Linked DNA regions of Drosophila melanogaster. The gene in region 2 interacts genetically with the main gene of each other region. Each region holds a gene or a part of one and is shown on either strand. Other genes may lie near its edges.

Evidence for each region.
Region 1: of tup (region 2) and ush, changing one enhances a phenotype caused by changing the other (phenotypic enhancement), as found in Drosophila melanogaster (one study listed by BioGRID).

Annotation. Positions count from the first base shown.
Region 1 is NT_033779.5:474,230-490,092, reverse strand, and holds the start of ush (u-shaped), read right to left. Parts: upstream 13,874-15,863; 5' UTR 13,762-13,873; intron 13,648-13,761; exon of another isoform or gene 13,107-13,647; coding exon of another isoform or gene 11,889-13,106; exon of another isoform or gene 10,687-11,888; coding exon of another isoform or gene 10,618-10,686; exon of another isoform or gene 10,405-10,617; intron 577-10,404; 5' UTR 1-576. Other genes in the region: cbt (cabut), read left to right, coding at 10,618-10,686, 11,889-13,106; MED15 (mediator complex subunit 15), read right to left, coding at 14,291-14,860, 14,915-15,057, 15,328-15,863. UniProt on the Drosophila melanogaster protein: Transcription regulator that modulates expression mediated by transcription factors of the GATA family such as pnr and srp. Represses transcription of proneural achaete-scute complex (AS-C), which is usually activated by pnr.
Region 2 is NT_033779.5:18,872,948-18,888,514, reverse strand, and holds the start of tup (tailup), read left to right. Parts: upstream 1-7,253; 5' UTR 7,254-7,719; coding exon 7,720-7,858; intron 7,859-15,567.

The DNA.
Region 1 (15,863 bases), about 18 Mb from region 2:
GTGAAGAACCATGGTCAGCATTTTATTTAGCTGCACTTCCGTTTCTTTTTTGCATAATTTCTTCATTTTGTTTCCCTCTGTTCGCTCACCTTTTTGTCTTGTAATTTGCACCTATTGCATGATTTTAATGGAAATTCCTCCTGCTTTGCATTGGACACTCATAGATTTTAAAAATTCGGACAGCAGCGGAAATGAAAAGCTTCCTGCGGGACAATTCCGCAGTTGAAAGGGGTGGGGGCGTTGGTCTAAGGGCAGGGCATGCAAATGGGGATGCATGGCAATAAATATCATAAACCAGTTAGCGACCCGTAATCCGCGCTAACATATGGCCGAGTCGATTAGCCACGGGAACTCCACGAGGTTTCCACCTTCCCCGCCCTCTACCTTGGGTCATTTGCGGTCTCCTTTCGCTCCGTTTCTTACCCATTTTTTCATCGCCGCCCTTCGCTAATCGCTAATGAAGTATACGCACCGTTGACCTTCGGAACGTTCATTACACTTTGTCGTTGGCTTTTTAGGCTATCCCTGATCGCTTTTGGTCTGTTCTCAATGCAATTCGGCAGTCACCCAAAAAACCTATAAATAAATGGAAGCAACAAAAGTAAGTGCAAGTATGCGTTTGCAACATCAATAATGATCGAGGTTGATAGTACTCCGTTGATATACTAAGCTCAAGGATATGACAGTGGATTCCAGAGCTCAATTTTCATATGTAAGCACATTCGAATTCTTAAAAATGTGCCAGAAATATCGAATGTGTCCGTATGCGTCTTCATACCAAATGAATATGTTGCGAAATACTTTCTAAATTCGGCGCTATTCAAAATAATAGCCTTCATTTCAATTGAAAACGAAGATCTTGTTAGAGGGGCGTCGGAAAAAATGACAAGCAACCATAACTAATATTCGGGGGAATCCCAGCAGTTTTAGCTTGAAGTCATGCCTATACTATAATGAGCGAGCTGCTTCTTTGTCCGTAACATCGATGCCAAATCAATCAGCTGCGTATATGCCCAATTTGTCGTAGTGTTTCACCGAATGTATTTCAGTGCCAGTACAAAACCCTCAAAAATACCGCTTCGTTATCCGTAACCGAGTCAGCCTTCCCTGCAATCATAGTGCAATACACTCGCCTGGAGGCCTGATGAGGATGTTCCGAGATTGGGAGCAGGGGCCTATACGAGGTAAGGTGAGCAACTTCCAGGTCAAGCAACTTCTGGCGGCAAGGCCATGCCCGTGACTAAAATGGAAATGAAAATGACAGCCGCGAAATAATAAAACAAAACAAAAAGTTAACCGAATATCTGCCGAAATTTTTGACGGGGGAGCTAATATCATTGACCCAAGGTGCAGTTACCTTGCGTGTTCACGCCGAGTGCAATGATCCGATGATTCGCCGGCATCCGATCGGAAACGACACGTTCCAACCCTGGACGAGGCGACCTTACCCTGAGCGCACTAATTTATGGACGACATGGGAAATGGGGGTCAATACACTGAGCCAGCAAATAGTGAAAAGTAAAGTTGGCGATTTAATATTTTCAAATCTTCGAAATGGTTGGACTTTGGTTCACTGAGGTTCAATCGCCAATAGAGTAACTGTTTGCAATCTAATCACTTGCTGCTGTTAAACCCATAATGGTAAATGTATTTTGAAATTATTTAAATTCTCCAAGGTCAACCGCTTTAGTTTGACTTCGTCAAGAACATTACGATGGGATAAACCTCACGTTTTGCAAATAAATTTGTTCTTAGAACTTTTTTCTTGTTATTTTAGCTTGCTTCAAAGAATGAATACTTTTTTTTCATGTGCAGGGCGTTCTCCATTAGCCTTGCTGTTCTCTTCCACTCTCTTTCGTCGATCGAATCTCTCTTTTCGGCCCACTTACTTCTCTTCTCACTTTTTCTGATGCTGATCCCATCCACTGCCAGGCCCAAGATCAGCGCTGCTGGGCTCCTTGCATAAATTAAAACAGCTGATGAAATTTGGCAAGTCCGTCGCATAAGCGAGCTAAAAAACCAAACAAAATGTTTCCCAAGCGGAGATAAAATTATTCACTTATTTTTGTTAAAAAGCTTCTTTGTTTTGGTCATTTGCCGTTATACAGACAGCCGTCGACGACGCCCACAAAATCACAAAATGCACTGCATTCGATCAAAGTCCAATGCGCTGACCCGCCCCCTTTCCTTGGATATTTGGGGGTACGATGGGTATTTATAGTAGCACCGATTGCAATAGAAATCCCACTCTCTCTCTCGCACTCTCGGTGGCTCTCCCTCCCGCCAAATAGTCGCTGCTAATTGGGGGCTGCCATTGCGGTAGGTTCGTCCCATACTGCGTATACGTAATGTCGAATATAATCCGCCATTTCAAATGACCATGGATGCGTTTAAATATAGGTGGGTATTAATAAGCACTAAACTAATCAAGTCAGGCATTATATTAATACAACAAAATGCAATAAATTAAATTGCAACAAATAATTCCCAGCAACATATGCACACGATCAGAGCACATATTGACCTCAGTATTGGGCATTCGCAAGCTTGGACCAGATGACCGTTCCACATGGACGAGTGTTTTCCCTGATCCACTTTCCCGGATGATGACTTCGTCCTCACAGGGGCGCTTATCTCAAGTCGGACACGAATTGGCCATTTCTATTTATAGCAATTCGAACCGAAGTTGCTTGACCAGACAGAGGAGGAAGATGATGAAATACATACCTATGTGTGATGTGCTCGGGCTCAAATTGCTCATGCCGCCGATTACTCTGCCGATTACAGTGGTATTTCGGTACTTCACCCACAAGTGGGACTCGTAAGTCGGATTTTGGCGAACCTTGCGCCTCCTTCACTTATTCAGGGTCACCTTTGGAGTCACCTTCACCTTCTGCACATCGATCATTCGCCTCACGCATGTACATACTTTTAGCACCGATTGACGATCGGAACTACCACTATACTATGCTAGTTGAACCATAAAGAGGGAGAGAGAGAGAGAGAGAGAGAGAGAGAGCGGGAGAGAGAGAGGGAGAGAAAACTAGTGACACGGGTAAAGTCATTCCAAAGGTCAAACCCGCCCAACCTGAGTTTAAGTAGTTGATCATCCATGATCAACTATCAGCTGAGCATCTGATTTTCAATGCCGCTCCCGCTTTATGAGGATCTCTAAAACTTATTCCCTTCAATATGACCAAATTATTAATTTGTTAACTCGATGTTGGCCTTATTGTGGCGAGGGTGACCGGCCTGCCTACTTTGCACTCCAGCACAGCTCTCATCATGAGCAATGCTCGATTTTATTTTATTTTTTCTGACTGGGCTTGGTTCAACGCATCGTGAATTTGCTCGCTGACCTTAAATGCAATTTGTAGCTGCGACTCGCTCATGTTTTGATGTTCACTTCCGTCGTTGTCCTTGCAAAGTGCAAAAGCCCCGGCAGAATATTAAAATCGAGTAATGGTACAGCGAGTGTTTCGATTTCGATGCGATCACACGATCCCTCGCAGCTTCGATTTATGGCCCCGGCCACACGATTGCTAATTTGCAAAAATATGTTAATTATTTCTTTGGTCCTCAGGTGCTGCGGTGCCACTTCTTCTTTCTCCACAGCCACAGCTTCGATTTCGAGCGCCTTGCTTTTGATTATTTGAAATGCGTCGGCTTGCTAAAAATACATGAAATGTGGGCAAGCACAGAGCAGCAACAAAATACACTTTTTGCGCTCGTGCTTCGATTAGCCAAAAAAAAAATCGAAAAAAATAACAGCAGAAGCAGGGCAGGGCAATAGAAAATGTGCTAAATACCCAAAGCGCTGTGCACGCCTCTCCTTCATGACTATTCATCGTTGGGGGGGAAAATTCTTGAGTATGGGATCAGGCAATCTGTAAATTCGGGAAAATTCCAGTTCACAACAACACAGTGGATGTATTATTTTGAGAAAAATAACTCCACGCACTAAACAACTCTTGGGGTAAACACTATAAATACCTTGTAATTTCTATGCCCAACTGATTTTCACCATTAAGCTATCATTTTGACTTCCTCTTCTCCCAGTGGAAGAGTAACATACATAAGGGCCATGCCATACAATCAATGCGTGTCTGTGTCTGTCTGCAATCGCCAGAGATAAGCGGGCAGACTGAGAAGTCGCTCCCCCTTCGCCGGCCAGCCACCATTCACAGCCACAAACGCGCCCACTTAAGCCAACAAACACAACAATGTCAATAAGGCAGCAAAATCAACAGAACCAACCAGTACACCGCAGTAATAAATTGCAGAAATGAAAGAGGAAGAAAGCTTCGACGACGAAAGAGACAGTCGCATTGAGGCACTGAGAGCACTTGGGCAATTTCCATTGTTTGTCTGCCGCGAGCAGCGAGCCTCCTTCTACAGTCATTGCGAAAGGGTTTACGGACCCGACCCGTCAAGGGCAATCCATTAATCGCGGGTTCGTCGCCTATCAACTCCCCATGCTCCTTCCCGCCCACTTTCCAGTGCGCGAAACGCAAAAGGAAAACAAGCGTGGAGCAACCAACGCCCCATAAACAAGGTCTGCTACGTCACGGCACGGGTTTAGATAAACACGCCAACCGATTCGCAACCGATTCACACTCGATCCATGCCCGATTCCGATTCCGATTTCAATGGTCACGTTGCCGACGAATGGCAAATGAGTTTGATAAACAAAATCGGAAGTGGTGTGAGATGTATACATGAAATGTAATGAGATGAACACACCTGGTTGCGTAATTCGGTGGATTTGAGATTGATTGTGCTTTTGTTTCAGCTTTTGATTCGATAACGCTGGCAGATGATGCTCTTTTTGCAACTGTACCTATGAAAAGTACAGCTACTTATCCATCGTATAATAAGTTGGCTGCATAAAATATAACACATTTTTTAATGCCAGAGAATTAGCCTTAAGCCGTCTTCCCTTTACCGGAAGTAATAATTAAGCTTAATGAAATCCCACCCAGATAACCCCAATCCAGGTCGCTAAAATTAATTTGTTTCATTCAGAAATCTAGTTCAAGATCAGCCATGCAGATGACGAACCGAATCACCTGCATTTACGATCCCCCATCGCGTTCCCATCCCCGAGAGTTCAGTCCAGCCCCTGCCATATTGATAAACCCCCATTGACGCCGCATGGGAAGCGAGTACCAACCGCTCTACTCCTCGGAAATTGATAAGAACCCCCCTGCGCTGATAAGAGACACGCCTCTTGGTCATGTTGTGACTGACTAACGGACGAGTCTAACCGACGGACAGACTAACGGACAAGTGGACGGAGGGAAATGGAGGCGGACATAAAGACTGCCCATGCGCTGGCCAGCTGGGAATCTTGCTTATCAGTCGCGCGGCCTTATCAGTTCGAACCGAGCCCGAACCCAACCTCCGATGTAGGGTTGATCCAAAAATGGACGACTGCTGTCCGGGGGAGATGTCCGCCCATTCCGTCCATTCCGGCGTTTTATGAATAACGCAATTATTATTATTCTTCGCGGGCTGTTCACGTTGACTTCACGTGGCCCCAATCAGACGCCCCAGCGACCTCGTCAACATCGGAATTGGAATTGGAATCTACGTCGGCGGCGGCATACAAAAAACGGGTCTATCAGCGGCCTCCCCGCCCGCGCCCTCAAGCGCACTTATTCTAGATTTATTTATGTTTGTGCCATATATTCATACGCGGTACTCGTGGGGAGCAAGGGGATATTGCGCTCGTACGAGTGTTTGTCGATATAGACACCTGTTTATCGTGAGTGAGATGAGATGGGTGTGAAGTGTGTCTATGAGAGGACATCTCGATCTGTATCGCTTAGAAACACAGATACTTAAAGGCAACTAGCAAAATACTTAAAAAGTAGCTACGATTACTTAGCGACAATCTTGTAAAGTTTTTTAAGGTCAAAGGTAAAGATTTGAAATATGCTAACATTTAGCGTAGCAAAACGAACGTGACGTATATATCTGCCGAATAATTGAGTAATCCTATTATCCATGTAAGGTAAAGTTGAATAAAGAATTCTTGCAACACGGAGGTTCTATAAACCGGGTATCCCTGAGTCGAAAAACGGAATACTCATACTTGCTTTTGTTTGTCCCATATACTATACTATTTTTCCTACTTATTGACGATGTTGTTTATTTCAAGCGCACGACTGACTGATGATGAGATGAGCCTCGTTGCCATTAAGGCGTTCACCTGAACCGGTTCAGGGACGTCTATATCCCTACGATGCTATGTTCTGCCATTCACATCCAATTTCGTTTTGCATTCCAGGGACAACAACTTTCAAGTTCATACAAACATTTGGCAGCTATAGGAACTGGGCCAAGGTCGATTTTTACCGGCAGCCAGAACGGGAAATCGTATGAGAATAAATGCGAGAGGTGCGAGGGAGAAAAGGGGCAGCCAGAGAAAACGCATTAAACATTGACCAGGGCGAACCTTCGCAGCATCGTAAATTTCCATTGGTAAGACCGCAATCCCGACTGAAGGTCGTCTATGCCCCTTCCCTTGCTCTCTTAGCATTGTGCTCATAGTAGACCCCACTTAGCCTTGCTCCGAAGATTCGTAGACGCCGGTTCTCCGCGTTCCGTTCCATTCTGTTCCGACTTAGCTTCCAACTTTGGAGCAACGCGTCGGTGGGCACGTAGGCAGGGAGAAAAATCGACTTAGGGAGAGCAAGTGCATCATTTTGTAGGGGGGATTAAGATTCGTGATAAGTGGGTGGCAAGGGCCGGAAGAATGGGGGCTAGTTATAGAAAATCTTCTATAAGGGCAGTTTTTATACATATATTTCAAAGTCAGACATCCTTATCACAGATTAAATTAAACCTTCAAAAACATATTGCACTTCTAATTAAATAATTTGGTTTCTTTTGCTGAGCAATAGTGGAAAAAGAGATCGGGAATCACTCATTAGATTCGAGTTAGTCATGTGAGTCTTTATAACAAAGATAAATATTTTGATATTTGGCATATGTGACCGCCATATAGACCAATAAGAAGGTTGCGCGTCATGGTGAAATATGAGATAGTTCATAAACAAATTTACAAGATACTTTCTTTAAATATTGTAGACTTGACAATTACAATACAAGGGGAAATTCCGATTCCATTGATTAGTATCTTTCCATCGAACTAGTTGCACCAATTCGAAGAACCCCCATAATCTGTTCAATTGGGGAAAATCTTCTTGTTTGTAAACATGTTTACATGCGTGCTAAATGGAAATTTCTGATTCTTTTGACTTCTGACAAAGGCTGGTAAGCAATATGAAACCAAGAAACTAACGAAGTCTGCACTTGGAGTCACGAGTTGGGCTCATGACGTCATGGAGAGTTTTGACGATCTTGGCGCTTTTTTCGGACGACGTTGTAGCGTCGTCCACGCCCGCGTGCAAGCAGAGGCCAACAAACAGAAACTGTGTGGGAAATGTTTGTGAATGGGAATCGAGGGAAACTAGGAAAATGGGCGTCGCATTTGACGCGTTTGACGTTGTTGCCGTGCCGAATTATAGACCAGTTCCTTATGACTTTTGGTCAGACTGTGTGCCACTCGTTGAGTACATGATTAAATGGATATATGAATAATATCAATAAGCAGCGTTCTTTTTCGAGGCCCTCTGACGTCAGGGTCCACCTGTGATTGACATTTCGACCAACTCCACCGACGGAAAGTTGTCTGCTTGCGCCTTAGGCTTTATTCTGCATGCGATTCCTCTCCTCGTTAATAAGAAAAAAGGAGCGTAGGAGGCCTTGAACCCGGCAGAAGCTCACGCCAACGTCACGCTTATTATGCTGTGACCTTTGACGCGCAACAGGAGCAAGGAGCCAGCGTGGGTGTGACGTCACCGAGCCAACGAGTCTGCTACGTAATGCCAGATGCCAGAAGAGAGTTACGTCAATGCGCAAACTCGCTCTGCGAAAAACGATGAGTTATATGTACATATAACATACATATACATATATATATTGTATTTCTAAGTCGGCCTTTGACACACCGAAAAAAAGGTATTTTGCTTGCTTTTGTGTTGTAGGAACAAGTTTTGAAATCTAAATCAAAGAGTTATTTTTAGTTTTCAGTATTGTTAGTGAGGAATAAGCAATGAATTAACAAACTAAAAAAATATATGTAATACAGCAATTCTATTGTGCAATTCTATAGCACTGACACTCAGTTTTTTCCAGTAGTCAGCGGCCTACGTGCGTTTCCGAAAATGTGCGTGGGCACACGTGAGTTCTGCGAGTCCAGATTTCGCCATCCCAGATTGAGTGGGTGGGCGTGGGAGCTCCGTGGGCGAATGCAAGTCAAGGGAACTGAACTTGAACCCGCCGGGGAGCCGAGATATACGTCTATTTTTAGATCTAACCTGCGGCTGCTGATTGTGTTCAGCCTCCGCAATGCACATGAATTCCCGCTTGATGGATTTGCGAGGACTGGAGGAGCTGGCCGGTGGGGAGCTTCAACTGCGCCGCAGTTTGCATTCAAAATGCGGGGGGTGGGGCGCAATGGAGAGGGGTGCGGTAACGGTATATCGGCCCATTTACACGCCCACATTCGCGAGAGAGTGGAGGCCATCGCTTCAAGTTCCGCGCAAAATTTACACACGAATTCCGATTCCAATCACAAACACGAAGCAAAGACAAAAACAAAAACGCAAGTACTGCAAACCCCCACACGCACACAAGCGCACAGATAGGCACGCCACAGACTGCTGGCATTTTCGCCTCGTCTCACTCGCACTCACTCACTCGTCCGCTCAGGCAAAGTATCAACAAATGTTCACGTGAACATCATGAGGTCAACGCGTGATACCAGACGGACCCACACAGACACTCACGCACACCATAAAACACGCAGGCGAGCTGTTCAGCCGTCAAGAAGGTTATTTTCGAGGGGTCCACTTGGGCATACCCTCTAAAAGCGGCGATAAAGCAGTAGGAGACGGATGGAATGACATTAATTTAGTAACGACAAATATAAAATTTCTTTTTAGGGAATGTGAAGAAAAATAAAACTTAAACTTTTCAGAGATCTGCATCTAATCTAGCTGCTCCCATGCTACCCCTGAATACCCTACACGGCCTGAACAGTCGCCCCACAAGTCTGGTGTGGGGTATGGCGTGCTAGTTATTCGTTGTTGTTGCGCAAGAGAGCGCCAATAACCACAGCTGTTTCTGCCGCTCGCTCTTTGGTGTGTGTGCTCTGTGTACGAGCCCCTTTTTGCTTTGAAAACTGTTACAGGCGAAACGCGAGCATTGCCAGGTAGAATTTACCCGTGTCCTAGGAGGGTTTTCAAACAAAATAAATGTAATCAATTGACGACTTAATTGAGTTACATGCATTCACTGGTGGTGAATAAGAGGATTTTGAAATGCCTGCTTTTCGTGACTCATCTTTGTTATCTCCCAGTTTCTTGGGCCTGGCAATGCTCCCCGTCAACTGTTGAGCTCCCATACTCTCCTGCTTTCGCACTATGCCTTTCGTTTATTAATGAAATCCGTGTCTGCTTAAAGTCAGACTTCCAAAGTTAATGCAAATATATGCGGCCAGGTCTTAGATTTCAGCTTGAGGGGCGTCTGCCAGGTTTCGAGCCAGTTTTAAAGTATTTTTTCAGCCGATTATTCACAGACTTCCGTGGCAACAACTACGTCAGCTACTCAGACACGGCTTTGGGGTGTGTCTGTGAGTGTGTCGGTTGGTGTGCGCTGTGCACGCGGCTGGGGCATGCACAGCCCATGAATAGACAGCCGATGGAGCCCCACACCCTCCCCAGCTCCTCCTCTACTGACCCGTTCTCTATAGCACCAAACACAAGACCCCGCAGTGAACAGCTGATGACGTCCATGCGTTGATTACGTGCTCTGCGGGCCTCTCTCCTACTGGCTGTGTGTCTGTGTCCTGCACAGAAAGAAATCGCTTCGGTGATTTTTTGGGTCTTCTCGGAAAAGATGGCAACATTTAAAATAGCCATACACTTTTAGAGAGTTTACTAAAAACGATTTGGGTTCACCTGAATCTCTTTTAACTTATTGCCAACCAACATTACAGTCTAAAATTGAGTTAACAGAGATGTCATTCTTTACGGGCTATTTTGTCCGGTGCACGTGGGTTGCTGAGAGGTGAGTGAGCAGGAGACCTGACCTTTTTCTTTTTTGCGCCCGAGAGAGAGGAGCCGAGGAGGTGCTGCCCACGTTGCTGGCTGATGTTCGTCCGGGTTACATTGCACTGGTTGCTCCACTGCCGATGACGATGGCCCGCTCACACACACTTGCCCGTTTCCAAGTGATTACGTCGTCGGCGGCTCCACTCACTCACACTTGCACAGCCTCTGCCGGCAGCGGCGTCGGCGGCGGCAGCTCTGCTGGGAGCTGAATGGCTTTGCCTTTTTCATTCGTCTCTTGAATTCCGAACGCAACGGTTCGCCTTCGCTCCAAAACGGCAAGCGGCACTTGAAAGCGCCAGTGCAAAGTTAGCTGAAGTGCAAAAATCTACACAAACTGAGATTAAACCAAGTGATTAGCCCCGGAACAAAACAAACAAACAAACACAGACTCTTCAATAAAAAAAAGAGAGTGCAACTGAAATTTGAAAGTGCAATGGACATGGATACCTTGCTACCTTCACCACCCGCAACGCCCCCACTAAGGGAAAACAAGTTGGAAATCGTAAGTGACCTACAAAGTGGATATATACAGTGTACGCTAGTGTAATTAGTGCTTATTGAGTGGGGATAGTGCATTCAAGGCAGCGGAAAATCAAACGGAATCGTACTTAGCTCGCTCTCGCTCCCACTTGCCGCGTTTCTAAAAACAAAGTGCCTCGTCCCGCTCGCACTCGCACACAGCCATGCGATCACGCAGCCAACACGCTTTCACGTGAACACCGCATGCACAGCGAGTGATGTGTGAGTGCGAGCGAGAGGCCGCAGCTGAACATTGGACTTGGCACCACTAGGAAAAAACAACAGAAAAGCAAAAGAGAGAAGGTGAGTTGCCAATTGGCAACTGTAGGCGAGCGGTGGAGTGTGAGAGGAAAGAGAGGGCCTAGCCAAAAGCTAGGCAAACAGGCCAAGCCCCAACCCATAAAACCATGTCACATTTCTGGCTCGTTTTTTATCTGGCCAAGAAAGAAACAAACAAACACTGTCGCACATTAGAGCGCAACGTGCCGAGCCCATAAAAAGATTTCGACGTCTTCGCACGAGTCATAATACACCCCTCGCATTCGCCTTCCCCATGAAATCACCCACCTGAGGCACGTCATAATAATACTGGTGGTGTGGCTGCATTTTCCTTGCATGCTTTTAGGCGCAATTTTTAAATGGTTCTAGAATATGCGCCGAAAACGCAACAGTTGCTCATGTTTTCATCCTTAAAAATTAAGTAGTGAAATTTGAAAAGTCCATATTAAGAACAGTTTTTAAAATTTTAAGACATTTTTTGTTTCTGTCAGGAGCACATCAATTTAAAGACTTTTATGTGGTCATCAATACAGTATTCACCTTTAACATTTACATACGTCTATAATTTAAAGCACAGCTGGCAGCAACAGTTAATGAGTAATATTCTGTCACCCCAAACGGCCTTTAAAAGAGTTCAAAAACCGCCAAAAACAAAGTTCCCTTGGCCTTTCGAAGGAGCATTGAACCTGGGGTTGGGCGGGGTATTGCAGGGTGTGTGAAGGTTAACGGTGAACGGCCTTGTCAGCCGCCGGCGTAATTAGCGAATTGCGAGGAAAAGTTATTGTGGGTCAATGCTGGTCAGCGAAAAGTGAATGGGACTGTGAATGTGAATGCACTCCTCAGAACATAAACTCGACAATGTTAACGAACTCTGACTAACCCTGAACTTGTTCTTTCCTTTTCCAGGTCGCCAAGGACGAACAACAGGTGAACGAGAATCTGCTAAAGGCAAAGCTCAAGCTGGTGGCCCAAAAGAGTCAGAAAAATGGAGGGATTATTACACCAAATCCATCGGACACGGAAGACGAGGCTCCCGAAATAGCGGTTCCCAACAAGAAACCCCGTTTGGAACAACCTGCTATGAGCATGACACCGCCGCCGGATCAAAAGCTGGACGATGATCAGAAAGCGGAAAGGGTTAGCGTCATCATGCGGGTCAACAGTTCTGGCGCTGTCTCTTCTAGTAGCCAAGACGAGAACTCATCTAGTTCCACCTCCTGCTGTAGTTCCTCTTCCAACACAAACACAAGTACAAGTTCAGTACCACCCACTGTGGAGGACGACTATCCAGAGGCCAATGTGTGGCGCAATCTCAAGTTCAAAATGAACAGAAAGCGTGCTGCAGAAGTGGCACTACCCCCAGTACAAACACCCGAGACACCAGTTGCGAAGCTTGTAACGCCACCTGCTCCAGCGGAATGCATCAAGGAGGAGGAAATAAAACCTATTCTGACACCGATATATGTTAGCCCAGTAGCTTCGTCTGCCAGCCAACTTATCCTGCTCAGCACAGTGGCCGCCCAACAGAGCCCCACACCCGTACCCAAAACGCCAACAATGTCCGAGGAGAAACTAACAACCAGAATTACGGCCGCCCAGGCGGCGGCCACCAGAAGTCGCATCTACGAGTGCAGTTTTCCCGATTGCGGCAAGAATTACTTCAAAAGCAGTCATCTGAAGGCCCACCAGAGGGTTCACACCGGCGAGCGACCCTTTATCTGCAAGTGGGAGAACTGTGACAAACGATTCTCCCGTTCCGATGAGTTGTCCCGACACAAACGGACCCACACCGGTGAAAAGAAATTCCAGTGCAGCGTCTGCCAGAAGAAATTCATGAGAAGCGATCACCTGTCGAAGCACGTCAAACGGCACAACAAGGACAAGGCGAACGGAGTGAATCGACATGTCTCCCTGGCCAACAACAACACATCAGCTTCGGTAGCGGCTTCCCTCTGCGATGCCTCGCTCCATTTGCGAGCGATAGCACCGGCGGGCTCCAGCGCTAGTTCCTCGCCCATCAGTTCCGCCAGCTTGCAAGTCTACAGCGCCCAAGATCTGCTGAGGCTACAGCAGCAGGCCAGCAGTTTCACCTTCGGCGGAACCCTGCTTCAAGTGCAGCGATGAGAAGAGCAATGCGAGCAGCATCAGAACCAATCTCAGCCCCACAGTATCGCCAGCTAAACAGAGATGAATTCCCACCAAATTTCAAAACAAATTAACATCTGAGTCAAATTCGAAATGCCTTCTCGCTCTCATGTAGCTGGTGTAGACTTAAGCTTAGTTAGGAGCTAGATCTTGTCACCGTTTTGTGCATATATCAACTTCAAATTCAATACGTAATACCCAAATCGGATAGATGCCACTTCTTTCCAGGAGCACACAGCACACTTCTTATCTAAGCGATCTTCTTCAGATTAATATTCTGAATATCCCTAGTGTTTGTACATACTATAAAGAGACGCATTCGGCGTCCAACATCTGTGATATTTAAGTTTTCTTAACTCTTTTCTATTGTACCATAGTTGTCAGTGTAATTCTCTTAAGCTAAAACACACACAATTGTATTTATTGCTAAATGTGAAAAAAAGAAAATGAAAACAAATAGAATAATGGATCATCGCACGATTCCAATCTCAACAAATGAAAATATACATATTTTCCAAAGAAAACTAAAGTTATTCTATGAATTGGGAGGGAAGCGTAATTGGGCAGAAGTCTATTGCGGTGACTTAATTTTTTTTTAGAATGACAAGCCCTATTCCAAATTGTTTATGCTTACCTTTTTAAAAATCTCATCCGACTGAAACAATTTGCAAAGTATGTAGCCCCATTTTGGTATTGAACTAAGTCTTGAGTGTGGAATGTTTTTTGCTTGATGAGTGGATGAGTGTGTTGTGTATATAGAAGGATGTTTCAATGCGGTGCAGCTCAATATTCTTTGAAATAATTGGTTTTATTTTATTTTAGCTATAAAAGCCATTTGTCTTATATGTTAAAATGTATTTACCCAAAACAGAGGGGCATTTTGGGAATCTAAAATGAAATTAAAATTTTCAATATCCATTGATTTAAAATTAAACAAGATATAAACTTACTAAACTTTCCACACTTTTTGCCCAGCGTAAATAGAAAAAATGTTTATAGTTGATTAGGCCGGATAGTTAGGTAAAACTTCCAACAAATATAAAAATATATCTAGAACAAAACAGAAATTAGAAAGATTTTAAAATAAATAGTAATTTTTTTGCAGCGTACGCACTTTTAGCTTAAGATTTAATGTTATAGTTGAATTTAACCAAATAGTTGGGCTAAACTCCCAGCAAAGTGGAAAGTTCACAGACTGCTCTGGGTTTCGATTGCGGGGAACACGCCTGTCGCACGGCCATCTCCCAGGTGTCCAACAAATGTGAGAGCGAGTAGTTCTTGGGCAACTTCGAGATGCGGGCAATGAGAGCTTGTTGCACCGTCTGCAGGAAGGGGGTGGCTGAATACTCCTGTTCCGCCAAGGAGCAGTCCGGAGCCTGCCACGGATATTCCTCCGGCACACTCACACTTACGGGCGGAACACTAGGCAACCTTTTGTCATCCAGGCAACAAATCAAGCGAATGGCCTTGTTGTTGATCTGTGACGTGGTGTCCAATTTCACTTTAAACTTGGTATCGAGCCTAGCAATTTCCCCTTGAAGCACATGTGGCACTTCCTGCTCAAAAGACGTGGACTTTTCTTCCACCCGAGGTCGCTTTGCGGGCACTGGAGCTGTTATATCCGTACCAAAGAGCAGCTCCAAAGTGGGTCGGAATGTGCGATACAATGTGTGATTTGCTACAGGACTTTGCAGCGTTGTATTTATAACCTCCAGCAATGGATTTGAGGATTTCTAGGTATAACGAAGAATATAATAAATTGGCCCGTTGGATGTAGATATACTTACACCAAACTGCTGGCCGGAATAGGAGATGAGATCCATCTTCTCAAGCGCTTTTTCACACTTAAGTAGAGTCTCCAGCGGCACGCGCTGTGTAGGATTGCAGAGAATCTCCAACAACTTGCTCATCTTTGTCATCTTCTCCACATCTATTAAAGAAGATATAATATTAGTTTTACGATAACATATACTTCGAGAATATAACTACTAGGAAATATATAAACCCGAGTAAGTTTGCATTAAACTTTTGTTTTTGGTTAGTTAGTCCTTGCATTTGGCCTCGCAAAAACGATTATATAATTCTTAAATTATATTATTTGACGCGGTTTATAGCATTTACAGCATTTCAGTAATCAGCAAACGATTTAAAAATGCAATAGCTGCGAAAAAAACGAAACGTGAGGGTATTATCTACTTACTGGTTCCGTCGTTACTGATCTTGGCAAGCATCCGCTTCAGTGGCTCAATGTACTTGGTCAGCTGCTTGTATTTCTCGCGGTATAATGCCTCCTCCTGGGGATTAAATGGACTGTTACCAGTAACCTGGCCAGGAGTGTTGATCGAGGCACTTGGAGACTGCTGCCGAATATTGCGCTGCGAATTCTGCATCTGCATCATCTGCGGACTGGACTGGGGAACCAGTGCCGGACTAGGAATCATATTGGGCGTGGGCATCTGCGGAGTCGGAGGTTGCTGTGTTGGCGTCTGATTGCCCACCACCAGCTGTTGCTGCTGTTGTTGCATTTGCTGAAGCTGCGCCTGTTGCTGTAATTGCTGAGCATCTGCTGGAGAGGGACTGGATCGCATGAAGGGCTGTCCCGGCTGCTGTCCACCCACTCCCACACCTCCTCGATTACCGGGAAACATCTGACCCGCCTGGCCCATGGGCATATTTGGTTTTTGCTGCAAATTCGGTGGCATGTTCACGCCCATACCGCCCATGGGGTTCATTCCT
Region 2 (15,567 bases):
GTTCGATTTTGCCCAGAAAAGTATAGGTAAAATATAAGTTTTTTTCAACTGTTTCCCCAACAAATTAGAATACGTTGCTTATAACTTCCTATTTTATGAAACTAATATTTGTAATCCTGCATAGTGCATATGCATAATTATGTGTTGGTTTCCCTATGATGTTTATTTTCATAGTGCTCCAATATCTAAATTTCAGTGAACATTTTCTTAGAAATATACATTTTAGGGTCTTCTGAGCCCATATCACCATGTTTAACTTGAGCATTGTTTTTGCTTCCGCTTTTGTTGCTACTGTGCACTTTTGTTCACCATTTTCGTCCAGTCCCCGCCCCCTCTTACGACCCCGCTTACCATACGCCCCCGACCCCCGCCCATTGCGTTCTGCTCCCCTGGCTGTTCACAGTTTTTGCTTTTCCTCTACTCTGCATAAATTTTCCCTTAAGGATTGTCGCTGCTCACGAGTACACACGGATACAAACGCACACATACCCATAGGCGGTGGCAGGCAGACACACACAGGCGAACAAAAGAGCTTCGGTGGCAGGTGCCAGCAGTAACAACAACAACAGTAGAAGGAGCAGGAGCAACAATTTACAACAACAATGGTGGCAGCAGCAACTAAAAGGGTAGCAAGTACCAGTGGGCAGGTGGACGACCAAAAGGGGTTCGAAAAAGGGGAGGAACTGGGTTTCCCCAACAAGACAAGTTGCAAGCAGCGTTTGTTGTGCTTTATCCTTTTTTTATGCCTTGCCCCCTGACAACAGAAACAGGAAAAGCGGTTGCCGCCATTTTTAATATGGCGCACAGTCAACACACACAAACAAACGCAATGCTCGCAAAATTATAGTAAAGTGGTATAGGAAAGATTGTAAGTTTGAAAAATTTGATTTATTATAAAAATATATATATAAGAAAGTCAGTCTAAGTTTTCGATATACCAGCTATAAAATTGAAAGAATAGCTTTATAGTGTCATTTATATCAATGATATGCTAACATTAACATTAAAATAATACATTTTTTTTAAATATACCACAAAAGGAGCTAAATTCTATTTTAAGTTTACATTTCCTTTCATGGGTACTTTAACTGAGCTGAAAGCCACTGTGCCAGTTCAGATGAACATATCCTTCTATGGCCGAAAGGACCTCGACTTAAAGGCAGCTAAAATATAGCCCTTCTCTTGGCCTTTTCCATTCGCCTGTGGCTGCCTTTTTACTTTTACGACTGAGCGTGTGTGCCTGTGTGTGTGTGTGTGTGTGGGTGTTTTGGTGCACGCTAACCTTCCTCCCATTGCCCCTCCCCCTTCTAGACTCATCAGCCCTTCTTCCAGCCAGCCTCCTTTTTGGATTTGCATATAAACCACTTGCAAATGTATGCGCGCGCACAAACACACCCACACTAAGCTATTTGCATTGCGGCCGCACGAGAGCGAGAGAGACGGCAATGAGGGAGAAAGAGAGGGGACTAGCGAGCTTTAGCGTCATATAAATTTTCGATTGATATGCAAACTTAAAAGGAACCGCAAAAATTATGCTCCACTGAGCAAATGCGACGCTCAAGCGGTTGGTGGACGGACATCCTGTTCCAGGACACCACCAAGGTGCGGGTGTGTGAGTGTGTGTGGGTTAGTGGGTGTGTGTGCTACTTTGGAGTAGTACATGTTCGTGGGTTGATTTTCTCACCTATAAGAAAATAAATGTTTATTTCATTATTAAATTATAGTTTTACCAAATACTTCATAGATGATAAATAGGAATTTAATAAAAAGCGTTCTTAACATCACAAATCTTGAATAAAGATGGTGAGAATGTAAGTCACCATAATTGAAAAGTATTTTATGAAGATATATATTGATAGGTCTATGGTTTTCATACATTTAAATTTGTATTTTAAAAAAGTATCGCGATCCTTGGACATTTCTAATCAAATTCTGCAGCATAAGTTCAGCTACTGCTTACCTATTTGATATCTTTAATGCCCAAGTTATGTGCAAAGCTAAGCTATTAGCCTTATAATATGTACCGTACTGTACTAAACTGCTTAAATTCCCAGATGTGTGCCGCCTGGGCGCGTAATAAAAATCAACAAGCTGCTTGGCAAGGCAACTTACTGCCATTCGATGGGCGGATTTTCTGTTTGAAGGGAGTAGGAGCAGGGAGTTGGTTGTCTAAAATTCAATGCTCGAATGCCAGGAAAATCGGGCAACCAACAAATTCGATGGCCCGAAGCCGACCGCCCAAAACTAAAGCCTCTGCTTAAACATTTAACGAACTGCAGGCCAAAAGCTCGACAGGCCGCGCTTGACTGACAGTTGACTGCGTTGTTCGATGTTGGGTTATTTTGGGTGGTTGGGTGGTTGGGTGGTTGGGTGGTTGGCCCGTTGTCTGGATGTTCCTGGTGGCCGGGCTGTGCATATTCCAGTTCTGACGCACAGAGAAAACCGAATGAAATATATTTTCCAATCAAATTGAAATGCAAACATGTGCAACGATTGTGTGGAATTTCGAAGGGAGTCGGGCGATAGATAGATAGATGGATAGATGGCTGCCTGCCGTCCGGATGCAGCCAAAAATTGGAATTGAAAAAGTCATGATAACAGAAAATTGCACGCTCTGTGACTTTGAATGACAGATGAGTTTTCCTGTGGCTGCTGCTGCTGCTGCTGCTGCAGCACGAGCAACAAAAACAATAACAACAACGGCAACAGCCGCATTGCCACTAACTAAAACAACAAAGCGTTAACAATGAAAATGTCGCGCACGCGTTGGCGAAAAAAAAAATAAAGAAAAACAAAGACCAAAATTCGGAGCGAGGAAAAACAAATGACAGCTGCAAAAATGGCAGGCGGAAAATGGCAAGAGCAACAAAACGACGCCTACAACAACACCCAATGAAATAGTGTGTGGGCCTGGAAACTTAATTCAAAATCAACAATGGGTAACGAAATATGAAAGATAAAAAGGTTGAGCGGGAAATTGGACTATTAAATACCCTTAATTTAAGTCCGATTCGGAAAGAATATAAATGGTGTTAGAATCTTGTTCAAAGGTAATTTATAATTCATTGACTTCTGCGCTTGGAAAGAAATAGCATATGCTAGGCCAGCTAGCTATGATATAATATTTTTGAAGAGTGTTCACGTTTTTTCAATTCCCTTGAAGATGGCACATTTGTTGCTTGTATGAAAGAGCAGTTGAAAATGCGGAAACGGAAGTGGACTCCGCCACAAAGACGTTGACAATAAGGGCAACGTGAGGACCCAGCGTTTCCCATACAAAACCCCAAGTAAACCGAAGCAAACTAAAGATGGTTGGACCCAAGGAACTCTCCTCCACATAGTGACGACCTTTGAGTTGCCTTTTTTTCCAACGTTGGCCTAGCTGGCTGAATGACTGAATGACTAACTGACTGAATGACTGTGGCACTGACTGACTGGCTGGCTGGCTGGCCGGGTTGGCCGCTTCCGCTTTTTACGTTCATTGCCTCTGCCACAATTTTAATTTTCCTAATGGATATCGATCCTGCAGTCGTCGTCGCAGCGGCAGCAACAGCAACGACAACAAAAACAAAACTGGCTGGCAAAAAGGATAATAGACTTCTTTATTGTGCATGCGACTCTATAAAAGTCAACTCCTGGACTTTGTTGTGCGCTCCGCACCGCTCCGCTCCCGTTCCTCACCGCTCCGGTCCCGCTCCTCACCGCTTTTCTCTTCTGTTTTCCTGTTTTCTCTCCTGTTGTGTTCTGTTGCTCATGCGAAAATCGAGGGGGCGGCGGCGAGGGAAAGTTGGGTGTTCGGCGGATACACAAACCAGGCCAGACACAAGCACCATCACACACCTGGGCACTGAAAGAAATTATACCCTCTTGTATGTTAAATATATCTGTGGGAAAGCGAAACAAGTTACGAATGTTATGTGTCCCTAATGGAAATGAATATTCAACTAATAACGAAAATATTTGAACATATTTTAAAATTTTGAAAATAATATAAAGAATCAGTATAAATACATTTATAAATGTCACATTCAGTATGATTTCTATTAAATTTAAAACATTTTCATTATTAATTATTATTGAACAATAAATTAGCAATTAATAGGCATACATTTCTCACAGTGCACTCAAGCACACAGGGCAGGCTGCATAAATACTTAAGCAACAACCTCACACAATAAATAATCTGCTACGTCATGCAAAACTGAAACTCCAGTAGAGCCCTTTGAAATTAGAAGGAATGTGGGGTTCCATGCAGTTGGCAGACATTGGAAATTAGATTTTAGCCCGGCTGAGATGCCACCCCCTATCAGCCCCCACCGCCCCCCCTCGACAACCGTGTAATCCGACCGCAACTACACATGGCAACGTTTATTCGGAATTCCATTTTACATCTGCCCCGGATCCGCCAAAAGTGCGAAAATTAAATGAGCCACAAGTCGGAGCGAAAGGACGAAGGACCTCCACACCTCTGTTTGTGTAGGTGTTTTTCCTAGTTTTCCTGCCCCTGTTTGCATAAATTTTTGCCCACTTCTTTTTGCCAAATGTTTTTCGAGGATTGAAAATTGCCTAAACCGTCGTTTGGATCGCATTTGGGCATATATTTGCATTTGCTTTGCGGTCTGGAAATAAACGAAATGGAATAAGTTGACCGGGCAGATGATGGCGAAAAATATCGGAATAAGCGAAAGTGAAACTTAAGAACGGTTTAAACTTATTTAATTAGGATCCATGAAAGGGCAAAATTCTAGGAACACAACGTAATCATTTGCATAAACGTAGAACTGCAATAAATATTATTTGCGCCCAAGGTTGCGATTTTGTATATATTTATTACAAGAATGCCACTCACCTTCATTTCAATCAATATATTTATTTTCTAGAAGATTGAAATCAATAACCATAACTCTTTGGGAAATGTACTGGAAAACCTTGAAATCTATATCTTTACTTATGTTAATTACAAATGACTATTTGAAATAAATAGTCAAGTTATACCATAAGTTCGATAATATAAATGCTTATACTATCCTACTAGAATAATTTAATATTTTGCATATAAGAGTATAATTACATATAATTACCTCCTGAAGCATTAGTGAAGCATCAAACAGAAACAACTCTATGCAATCTTCCTTATTAGCTGCCGCCAACAATTAAAGCCAAGTTAAGCTCGGTAGCTTAGCAATTAGGTCCAGGACAGTAAGTTGTCCAATGGCTAAGATCAGCCGTGGGCTTAAGCAGAAAAATGCATTAAACAATGGCTAATATAGCATGTCTGCTCAATTTCAATTAAACGAATCGAAACAAAACTATTTCAACCAACAAGTTAAACGTTGTTCCGACCATATCGATGCGCAGTGGCTTGAGTGACATGTCCTAATTCGTAAGCGTTGACTTTTACCGGCATTTCAATTAACCCAATTAATGGACGGGACCTAATTAAATTTTGAATTCATGTTGCCAGCAAACGCACACTCATCCAGCTGCCTAGTTGCCCCGCACACAGATACGCCGGCACACACACCCTCGCAGGCGAACACACAGACATCAGTCAGCTGTTTTCTGCTGGCCAGCTGTCGTTCGAGTGCGAAGGAGATGGCGCGAAAGCCTCGCAATTCGGGGGTGGTTGGGGTACTGTTGGGGGTGGCAGAGGATGGTGTTGGATGGTAGCAAGGGGGTGGCTCGCTGTAACAAGTATGTACTAATGTCGGCGTCTGGCTAACTGAGACACGGCTATGAATGAGTGCCCCAAACGGAGCAAGCGGGCCACTGAAACTGTAGCTCGATGACCTTGATTATACAACACAGCAGCAGCGCCACCACCCCCCAAACCAGCTCAAACTCTACCAGACCCACAAGCAGCCCTGTTCGCAGCAGGGCCACTCCTTCAAAATACCCTACGTCAAATAAAAATGGCAAAAAAGTAGTCAGAGGCTACAGACACTCGAAAAAATAATAAGGAAATCTAACTAAATTGTACAGTAACACAATATGTTTATGATGTTAAACTTAAAATATTATAAAACTAGATTGTATCTCTATCACATATTCTATATAATTTAGAAATGTGCACATTTAAGTAAAATAATTTACCACCACAACTCATCTTAAACTTCTTCCTGGCCTACAGATAAGCATTCTTCAAAATTGCTTAAACAAGCTTTTCTTCGAGTGCACCCCAAGAGTCGGTGATGGTAACTGGTAACTGACATTACAACAAATCATCGGCCAGCAAATGTTGGCAACTGGGTGCCAAGTCAACGAACTGCTAACCGCAACACAGACACCGACCGCCACCCACTCGAACACATATATAAATTGCCGTACGGGGGCGTCATTAAAATTGCAACAGGGCCTTGAAGGAGCAACAGAGCAACAGGGGGGGAGGGGGTGGAGATTGGAGCGCTCCCCAAAAGACCAGAAGACGAAATCAAAAGATCAATAATTATTATGATGTTGCAGCACACCCGAAACGAGACGCCTTCAGACCGCAGAGCCAAGTCAAGACGGGCAGGTGAGACAAGGGGGGCGGAAAGGGGCGAAAAGGGGAGCCCCAAAAGCGGAGGGGCTACAGCCGAAAAGTTCGACAAGCGCATTACAACAGTTCGGGGGTAGAAAGACAGACGACGGATGAAGAGTGGGGTAGGGTTGGCCAGGGGGGTGCGCTTGCTTACAAGTGCAACCATTTTGTAGTACAAACTTCGAAAACCAAAAGCGAAATTGGCAAAACAAAAGGCCAGCGAAGGGAGCGAGGATGTGGGCCCACCTCCTGACTGCCTCCATTTGTGGATTGTGGATCCCGCAGCCACAGCTGGAGTCGGTCATGCGCACTCCGTCCAACCGATTGGCCCGCTTCGCCGCCATTTAGAAAAGGCCCACCAAGTGGAAGCGAAAGAGATGGGCTTGCTGCCAGAAAAGGACGGAGCGTGAGAGCGCTGCCCGCAGAGCGAGTGCGACAAAAACACCTGTTCCTGTTTCGAACTCCCCCCCCCCTGCAGGCCGTCAGTCCATCGAGTCGGCTATCCGCTATCGGCTATCCGAGAAGTACACGCAGAACTGGCTCGGAACCGGTTGCAGCTGCACCAGTGCCACACCAGTTCCCTACCCTTGCGGAGCGACGAGCTAGTCGCACTGCTCTCGCAGGCAGAATGTATCTGCGAGATACATTTCGGGGTGAGTGGCTGGCTGGCTCGCTAGCTCGCTGGCTCCCTGGCGTGCGGATAACGTACGGCAAACGGAACGAAGCGCCGACCGGTTTAGTCGTTCAGCAGTCTCCGTGCAGTGAGCATGTTTGTGCGCCAGACATCGTCGTTGGTCGGTTGTCGTCATCGCTACTATATAGCCGTCGTATCGCGAACATCGACCGTCTTAGCTCGATAGCCGTCGGATTTGCCTTTTCGGATGCGAGAGACTCTTAAATCCCTCACCATAGATCCAAATCCCTGCGAACAAAACGCGTGTGCGCACACGGATCACACAGCCGTGATAATCCCGCTAAATTCGCCGAAAACCCAGTGCTCTGTGTCCCGGTCTCATATTGAGTAATTCAAGCAAACTTCACGGAATAAGTAAACCAGTACAAGTGCCTTACACAAATATCCCTGCTCAATGCCGGAAACTTCTTGAGTACGGCCCAAAACGAAAAGGCGCCCGCTCTCAAGATTCCCAGCCCACAAATATCTCGAGTGTGCTTCGCCGAGTGTCCTGTCAGCCAAATATATGGTAATGGCAGAGATTGGTGGCCATTTGGCTCACCAGCTACCGTTGCACAATCACAACCACAATCAAACTGGATTACAGCCATCGCTGGTGATGAACCATCACCTGGATTTGGATTGCCATGGACACGATGTGATAAGTGAGTACCGATATTCAAGGGCTGCTGGCTTTCCGATTTCGGGCTATTTGGGCTGCATCCTTGAAAAGGACGATATTTAATACTGGAGATAGCACGATCACTTACCTAGGGACAGTCTTAAAAAAAGAACAATGGAATGCCCTTCCACAGTTTGGATATGAGGCTATTGTATCTTCTAGATACATTTGTTGGTTCTAAGTACTTTCGGTCTGTTTAAGAAGGCATTACAGTTTTTTTCCTTAGTTCCCTTAGATTTAAAATTTGGATTTAAATAAATGTCCTGACAAATAACTTAGAGGCTAATAGGGGTTTAGTCTAAAAAAGCGCTTTGTTGATCCACTGTAAACCAAGATTAAATTGCATTTTAAATCAACCTATTCAGAAATTGTATACCTGCAATTGAAACATCATTACATAGATCACGCATCAGTGTCGAATCATTTGCCGCTAATAAAGCTATTTAAAGCAGTTAATGACTTATTTATGGCTATTGTCCTAGTCCCCAAACAAAAATTGGCAAATTAAATAGTCATTAAACAAGAGCCACTGATGGGTAACTTTCTCGATTCGTAAATATGGAAAATGAACGAGGAAAGCCCGCTTTGGACATTAAAAGCCAATAAAATAAGTAAAAAGCCGTGTTAACAAATGCTCGCACCCAAATCACAGTTGTAAACTTGTCTTGCTTATTTTTGAAACATTTTAATGCCCACCATTTTAAATTCCAGATATCAGAGATCAAGGCTCGGACTCAAAGGTTCCGAGCTTTAAAACCATGAACTGTTAGTCAAGTTTATTTGTAACGAAGGTCGAAGTTATTTTTATACCAAAATCATTAAAAAGTTCAGGCACGCGTTGAACTCTTTCATACCTTGAGTTTTTAATTTTGCCAATGGATGTGATGTGAGCAAGGCTGCGCTAAAGTAATTACAAACAAATTAAAGTGATACCAAGAAAATACGAATCCATAAATAATTTTTATTGTGCCATTCTTTTGTCAAATTGGAGGATCTTTTTTTTTGTATATTGAACGACTTTCTGAGGTTCTATCTTTAGGTTCGGGATTTCTTTCGGGCCACAGTCGTTAGCCGACTTGTCGCTGCAGCTTTTGTAATGGGCTTAGACCCTATCTCGACCTGTCACTTGTTGTTTCAGTACGGCAATAACTGTTAAATTATAGCCGTATTTTATTTTAAGCACACTTTACATATTATATAGAAGCCAATTAACGGTTGAATGACATTTTAATGCTGAGCAATTAAGCGCGCAAGCAAAGCGGGCAAGCAATTGCATGAAAAAAGCTGAAAAGAGCTGGAAATGTATCACAAATGTATCTCATGCGATAATGTGACAAATTTTTAACTAGCCTAAAGTTTGTTAACCAAAATGCATTTTATGAATTCATAAACCAAGAGTGTCATTAAAAAATGCCATCCGTGTGTGACAGAAAGAGGAATATATTTTATTCAAATTTTATTTCGTATGCTAAATTGTGACAAATGTTTTGGCTGACAGTTGTCTAACCAAACGAACGACCGCAGAACACAAAAAAGCCAAACAAAAATTCCGAAAAAAAAAGGAAAACATGAAAAATCATAATCATAAGCACATATACTACATACAATGGGTTCGGGGAAATTGAATTATATATGAGGCTGGAATAATGCAGCACATGCAGTTGTAGCTGCGAATCATTTAAATTGCATTGAATTTTAGTAATTGTAATTTAAATTCAAATTAGTTGTCGGCCATGGAGCGCTGGTAAATATTTAATGTCCGAACATTTTAATTTGAAAACTTTTCACAAAGTTTCCTCCCCATCGCTCTGCTTAGTTGCTCTGTGAGTTAGTTGGCGGCTGACAAAACTTTAAGTTAGAGTTTTCCAGCTTCAAGTTGATATTTGAAATGAAAACAATTTTTGTAGTTTTCGTTTCGTCCCCCCCCCCTCTAGTATCAGCCAGCTCCACTCTCTTTTGTTAGTTCGCTTGGTTCCGAGGCGAGTTTTGTTTGTTTGTTGATTTTTGAGCGCTGTAAACATTTTAATGAGTTTTCCATGTCACAGACCCAGGCCTCCAGTCAACATGTCGTTGGCAACTTCTCAAGTAGTCGTTAAATTAATTAAATATAGTAAAAACAAAAAGAAATCGCCATCTGAAGTATCTGAAGAGCCTTTGTTTACTCTCCGTGCTCTATAGAAAATTATGTAAGTCCGAGATCGCTGCATACATCAGGGCGTTGAACTAGTTTCGGTTTTTCATGTTGGCGGCTGCCATAAAATTGTACCACTTTATGTTGAAGACCATCAAAAATTGACAATTATTTGCGGCCATAAAAGCCAAGCGATTTTTATTTTTATAGTTAACCAATTAGCCAAAAATTTGAATAAAATGCGAAGCGGGGGTGGCACGGATTTTCCCCTTACTCGTCGTACACATGTTCCCTAATCTAATTCATATTAATTCCATTTAAATTTCTCGCCAGCAAATTCACCGAATGCTAATTGGCATTTTCGATGAATAAACACAAAACCTTTCGAAAGTTAATTGTGAAAAATGGATTGGGCAAATGTTTAGCCAATGCACAAAAAGTTGAAATAATTTTTCGAATAATTTGTAAAGTGTCAATCGTCGGCCATATAAGGTTAAGTCGTCTGCGAACGAAAGAGAATGGAACCGAGTTTTCAGATGAGGCTGGTTATTTAGCCATAGATCACCGATCTCAGATCTCTTGGTTATTTATAGAGCTGCTGAAACGTCAGTGAAAGGAAAAGATGTTTCGTATACGCAACGCGATTCGATTTAGAGTGCCATAAAATTAACTATATTACCATTCTAAACATGCTTCGATCGATTTCGTTTGGAGTTTTTTGTTGTTTTTGATAGTTTCGTATTGGAAGATTCACTGGGTTAAGGTTGGAAATTGATTGAATATTTGCTTGAATAGTCATAGCGCTAGGTTTGTTATTCTTTCATATCATTTTTTGGCCTAACTTTAAGTGCATAACAACACAAAAACAATACGACAGTGGTGACGTCAGGAGGGAGCCACACCCATTAGTTCGAAAAAGGCAGACAGACGTTATCTATATTTTACGAGTTCCTATCCAAATTCCTGTTGTCCCTGGCTGACATTTTTTGCTTGCCTTCCCGTTTCCGGTGTGATTTTTATTTCGGAATCCCTGCTGCTGCTGCTTGGGGTGTGATAAAGTTATTTAGGCGCAATCCATAAATTCCCGACCTGAACCCAAAGGCCCAAAAAGGCAGCGCAGACAGAAACGTAAATCCCAAAGCTTATCTGATTTTGCACTTCGGTACCCGGCACTAGATCAATATGTTATGTTGGCCGGAGTTTTGGCTTGGCCCATACCTGAGATTCGGACCCAAGACAGCAGTGCGCCTGCGCCCAGTGTCACCAGTCCAGTTCCCCCTCGCCCTCGATATTCCCTGACATCATTTGAAATCTGTGCCCGATGTGCCAAAAAAAAAATCAGGTCTAGAAGACAGTTGGCAGCCATCAAAACAACTCTCAGCCTCCTGCGTCCAGGTATTCTCTCAATTCACCTCAGAGTCTTGGCTGCTTTGCATTAATTAACAGCTCGCTGGGTCGAGAAATTAGGGAATTATGCCTGGAATTTCCGTTCGCCACATAAAAACAGTTGTCTGATTAACTGATTAGCTTAGAAAGAGGCTTAGATGATCATGAAGATGGGCAGAAATAGTGGGTGCTTGAAAATTGCATCACTGCAGGAATGGCAATTACAATTCAAAGTACACATTATATATTAAGTAAAACTGTAGAATATTACTTTACATTCAACACCATTTATTTAGTTTGCCCTCAAAAAGCAAAGCCTTAAACTTTAAGTTTTACGAGCACTTTAAGTCAAGTGGATGCTGCTAACTTTAAGTATCGATGTGATTGCACAGCCTCGACCTGATTAAAGTACTGACTCGAAAAAAGGCTAAATATTCCATATTCCATGTTATTTTCGAGCTAAAATGTTTTTAAAGCCCAGTGATTCCGTCGAAGCTCTCTAACCTAATTAATGCAATTCAAGATATTCTTAAAGCCCTCGCCTGCTGGAATTGGGCATATTAAAGCAGCCGCCTGACTATTAAAGTGCAATTAAATTTTTTTTTTAATTCTCCGTGCCTTTTTCCCTCTCGCATTTTTGAAAAGTTCATTCAAGGTGTCAGCAGCTTGTCAAGGTGAGAGGCGGCTACTGTTTGCTCGGCTGTAGAAAAATATTAAATTTCAGCTGGGGAAATCGCCGCGAGAAGCCATGAGGGAGAAACCAGAGAAGCGGAGAACTGATAAATGTGCAGGCCAGAAATTAGTCGGGAGTTAACCAGGCCACAAAATAAGGGAACAACTGACGGCCACGCCCGTTTATCGCGTGAGGACTTGGAAAACAGGAGGAGCCCCAGAGCTCCAGGGCGCGGGAAATCGAGGGAAAGGCGAAAGGGAAAATGGGGGAAACTCGTGCCTCTCTCCAGGCGCTCATTAAGAGTGGCGAGCGTTTTGCATTTCCCGCTGGGATTTTCGATGGAGCACCCGCAGCGCCATATGACACCTGGCCAAATACATACATACATACGTAATACCAGTACACATGCAAGCCCACATATATGTATGCCCCGTTCAGGTGCAACCGGGATATACCCAAGCTCCCGTGTGGCATTTTGGCGTGTTGCATGCCATGCGGTGGCCACTTTAATGGCGTCGTTTTTAAAGCTTTATTCTGGCCCATACCCACTCTAGTCGCTGGCTTTATGAGTGTCACTTTTATAACCCTTGTTTTAATGACTAATTAAGCATGAAAGACAATAAAAGAGCCTAGGTAGGACCCCTAAAAAAACAGATACAACCACGGGCTGCCTAGAAAAACAAACTTTTATGCGAGATCCATAAAGTGAGGATGAGGACTTCAAATACTTGCCGCTGGCGTCAGCTGGAATCCAAGAGGGAGAATCCAATCACACAGGCCAGACGCCACTTGAGCAGATTGCACAATCCGACCAAAAAATCGAGATCGAATTGAAGTGCAACAGTGGCCATATCCCATTACACTCAGGGGTGCACCAGATCCATCTTGTTGGCCCGCTTAGAACCACTCCACTCAATGTCAAGTGGAGTGTTCAACAGGTTGGACCGCCCGCCGAGGACCAGACTGATGAACTGAACCCAAAACCCCGGTCTCGAAAGGCGAGACCAATTTCGATTGTCGCGCCACGGGGCGACTCATTCAGCGACTCGTTCGGTTCGGTTATTATATATATATACCATATATACATATGGATATTAGGGATCGCGACTTTGGGCAGACACGTCGCCAGTCGGTAGCCGCAATTGCCGTTAGTTACCTGACAATATTTTGACGGGATAGCATATCCCGACGGATGGTAATGGTCGCAACCACTAAGCCAGCTCAAACATCTCTACCTGCAACCCGGGCTTGCGGCTCATTATGTCAAATTGAAATGTTGCCACACGGCCAGACGGAAAGAGAGGCATTCACCTGCGGGCAGAGGAGGGGATGTGGCTGGGAAACAGGCCAAACAAGTTGCTGCCTCTGGTTTATGTCCAAAACACCGTTGATTTCTCGGTCTGCCACGAATCATAGGAAGTCATAATGCTCCCCAAATTGGATCACACCAAAAGTTGTTTCGCGAGTGGGAAGCATTCTAGCTGCCTAAAACCACTAAAGTTGAATAAGATACATTTTCTTTAGACGAATTCGCTTTCCAGGGATTACTAAGATCCAATGACAGTTAAGTGATTCGTCTTCGAATCAGCATAGCTAACCTTCAAGCCATTGTACATGGACCTATGAAATTCATATCTTAATTCCTCCCACTACAAAGAGAAACAACTGGCAGCCATGCGTTTGCCGTTGTAAACAAAATGTAGCTCATTATGTCAAATTGAATTGTTGCCTACAAGGCGAGCTGAAAACCGACCAAACAAGTTGAGGAGTTTGCAGATCTTCCAGCGACTGCCCGCCTTTTTTCGAATTTGTATTTTTCTTTAATTTATGAGGAAGTTGGCGGCGAGCGTTTTGTCGCCGCCTAAAAGTGGGTAGACCACGTAATACATCTTCCCCGGCCGACCACACAGATCAGCAAGTGAATCATGCGGTTTACCCGATGGAGGTGAAGATGGAGATGGAGATCGAGATCTGAGATCCGAGAAGCGAGAATCCGAACCCGATTCGCAACTAGGCGGGATAGTCGGGGAATGTGAGAGGGAAGAGCGACGGGTTGGAGGGCCATAAAGCAGCCTACTTAAATTGCCATAAAACAGAGCAATTTATTGGAACGCAGCCAGATCGGCAGGAATCGGAATCGGATTCAGATTCACATCCAGAATCGTACTCGTATCCGAATCGGACTCGGAATCCCCCCAAGCCGCCACATCCACAGCCTGCCATCGCGTTGATTGCAGTCCGAGTTGATCGCAGAGCTCTTCGGCTCTTTGGGTCTGTCGTTCTCTGATCTGTGGTATCGAAACATGCCGCTGCGGTGCAAGGATCCTTTGAAATTCAAATTTTATGAAGCTCATTAAATATAAATTTGTCGTTCGAGACTCTCCTCCAACTGGAACACAGAGACAGAAACTGAGAAACTGTGAACTCAGTCGAGAGATGCAGGCTGTGTGTGTGTGTGTGTGTCTGCGTATACGACACCCAAATAAAATAATATAAATTAATTAACAAAACGAAGCCGAAATGAAGTTAAAAATTTGCATGAACACGGGCCCAAAGCCTTTGGCGGTCGGCGGTCTTCGATATTTACCTCTTATTTTCATCTCATTTTTTTCTTCTTATTGGTGTGGAGTTGCGTGTGCGTAATCGGCCGGGGTTTTAAATACTCTATGGCAACAGGACCCCAGCCATTTGGTGGCGATAATCAGGGAGGGGGGGGGGTGTCTTGCCGGCAACGCGTTAAATGGGCAACTCGGTCTTCGAGTGCCATAAAGCAGGCGGTGTCTTTTAATGAGGTCTTAAGTTTTTATAACGGAGTTGGAGTTGCTGCATCCACCTAGGCGCGCATGCTGCCAAGGTGGCTTTGATTCCGATCCTGACTTGGCCACACCTCAAATGCGGGAGATTGGAGCAGGAATTTTCAAAAAGGGCATGGCATGGTAGTAGGGTGCCAAAAGGATTAGGTATTTTCCTGAAATATCTTCAACGCATTTATATACTTTTAAGCCAATATAATCATAGTGCGTCTGCCGTTTTAATTTGTATAAGGCAATGCCTCACTAGACTTTCCACAAGCTGAAAATAGTGCAAAACTGCGGCTTTATTTATGTTGAATGCCATAAAAAAAATAGTTGGATCTGAATCAGGTACAAATGCCAGAACAACACCTCCAACAAGTACAAGAACAACTACAGCCAGCGACAATGTTCAAGTGCAAAAGGGGCACGCAGTCGCAGTAACAACCAAAAAAAAAAAAAAAAAAGAATGAACACACAACCTGGCCAGAAGGCAAACAAGGCCAGAATGTCCGGCCAAGGAGTTCGGCTTATAAGAAGGGAGGTGGTGGAGTTGCGGCGTGAGGGGCAGAGGTGCACCCTTTGGTGTTGTCGTGTTTGCGCAATATTTGCGACAAATAAAGCATAAGAACTGTTAAAGTTCACACGCATCAGGTCAAATATTTACACAAAACAGCCGAGAAGAGACAACAAGCAAAGGCAGCACAACA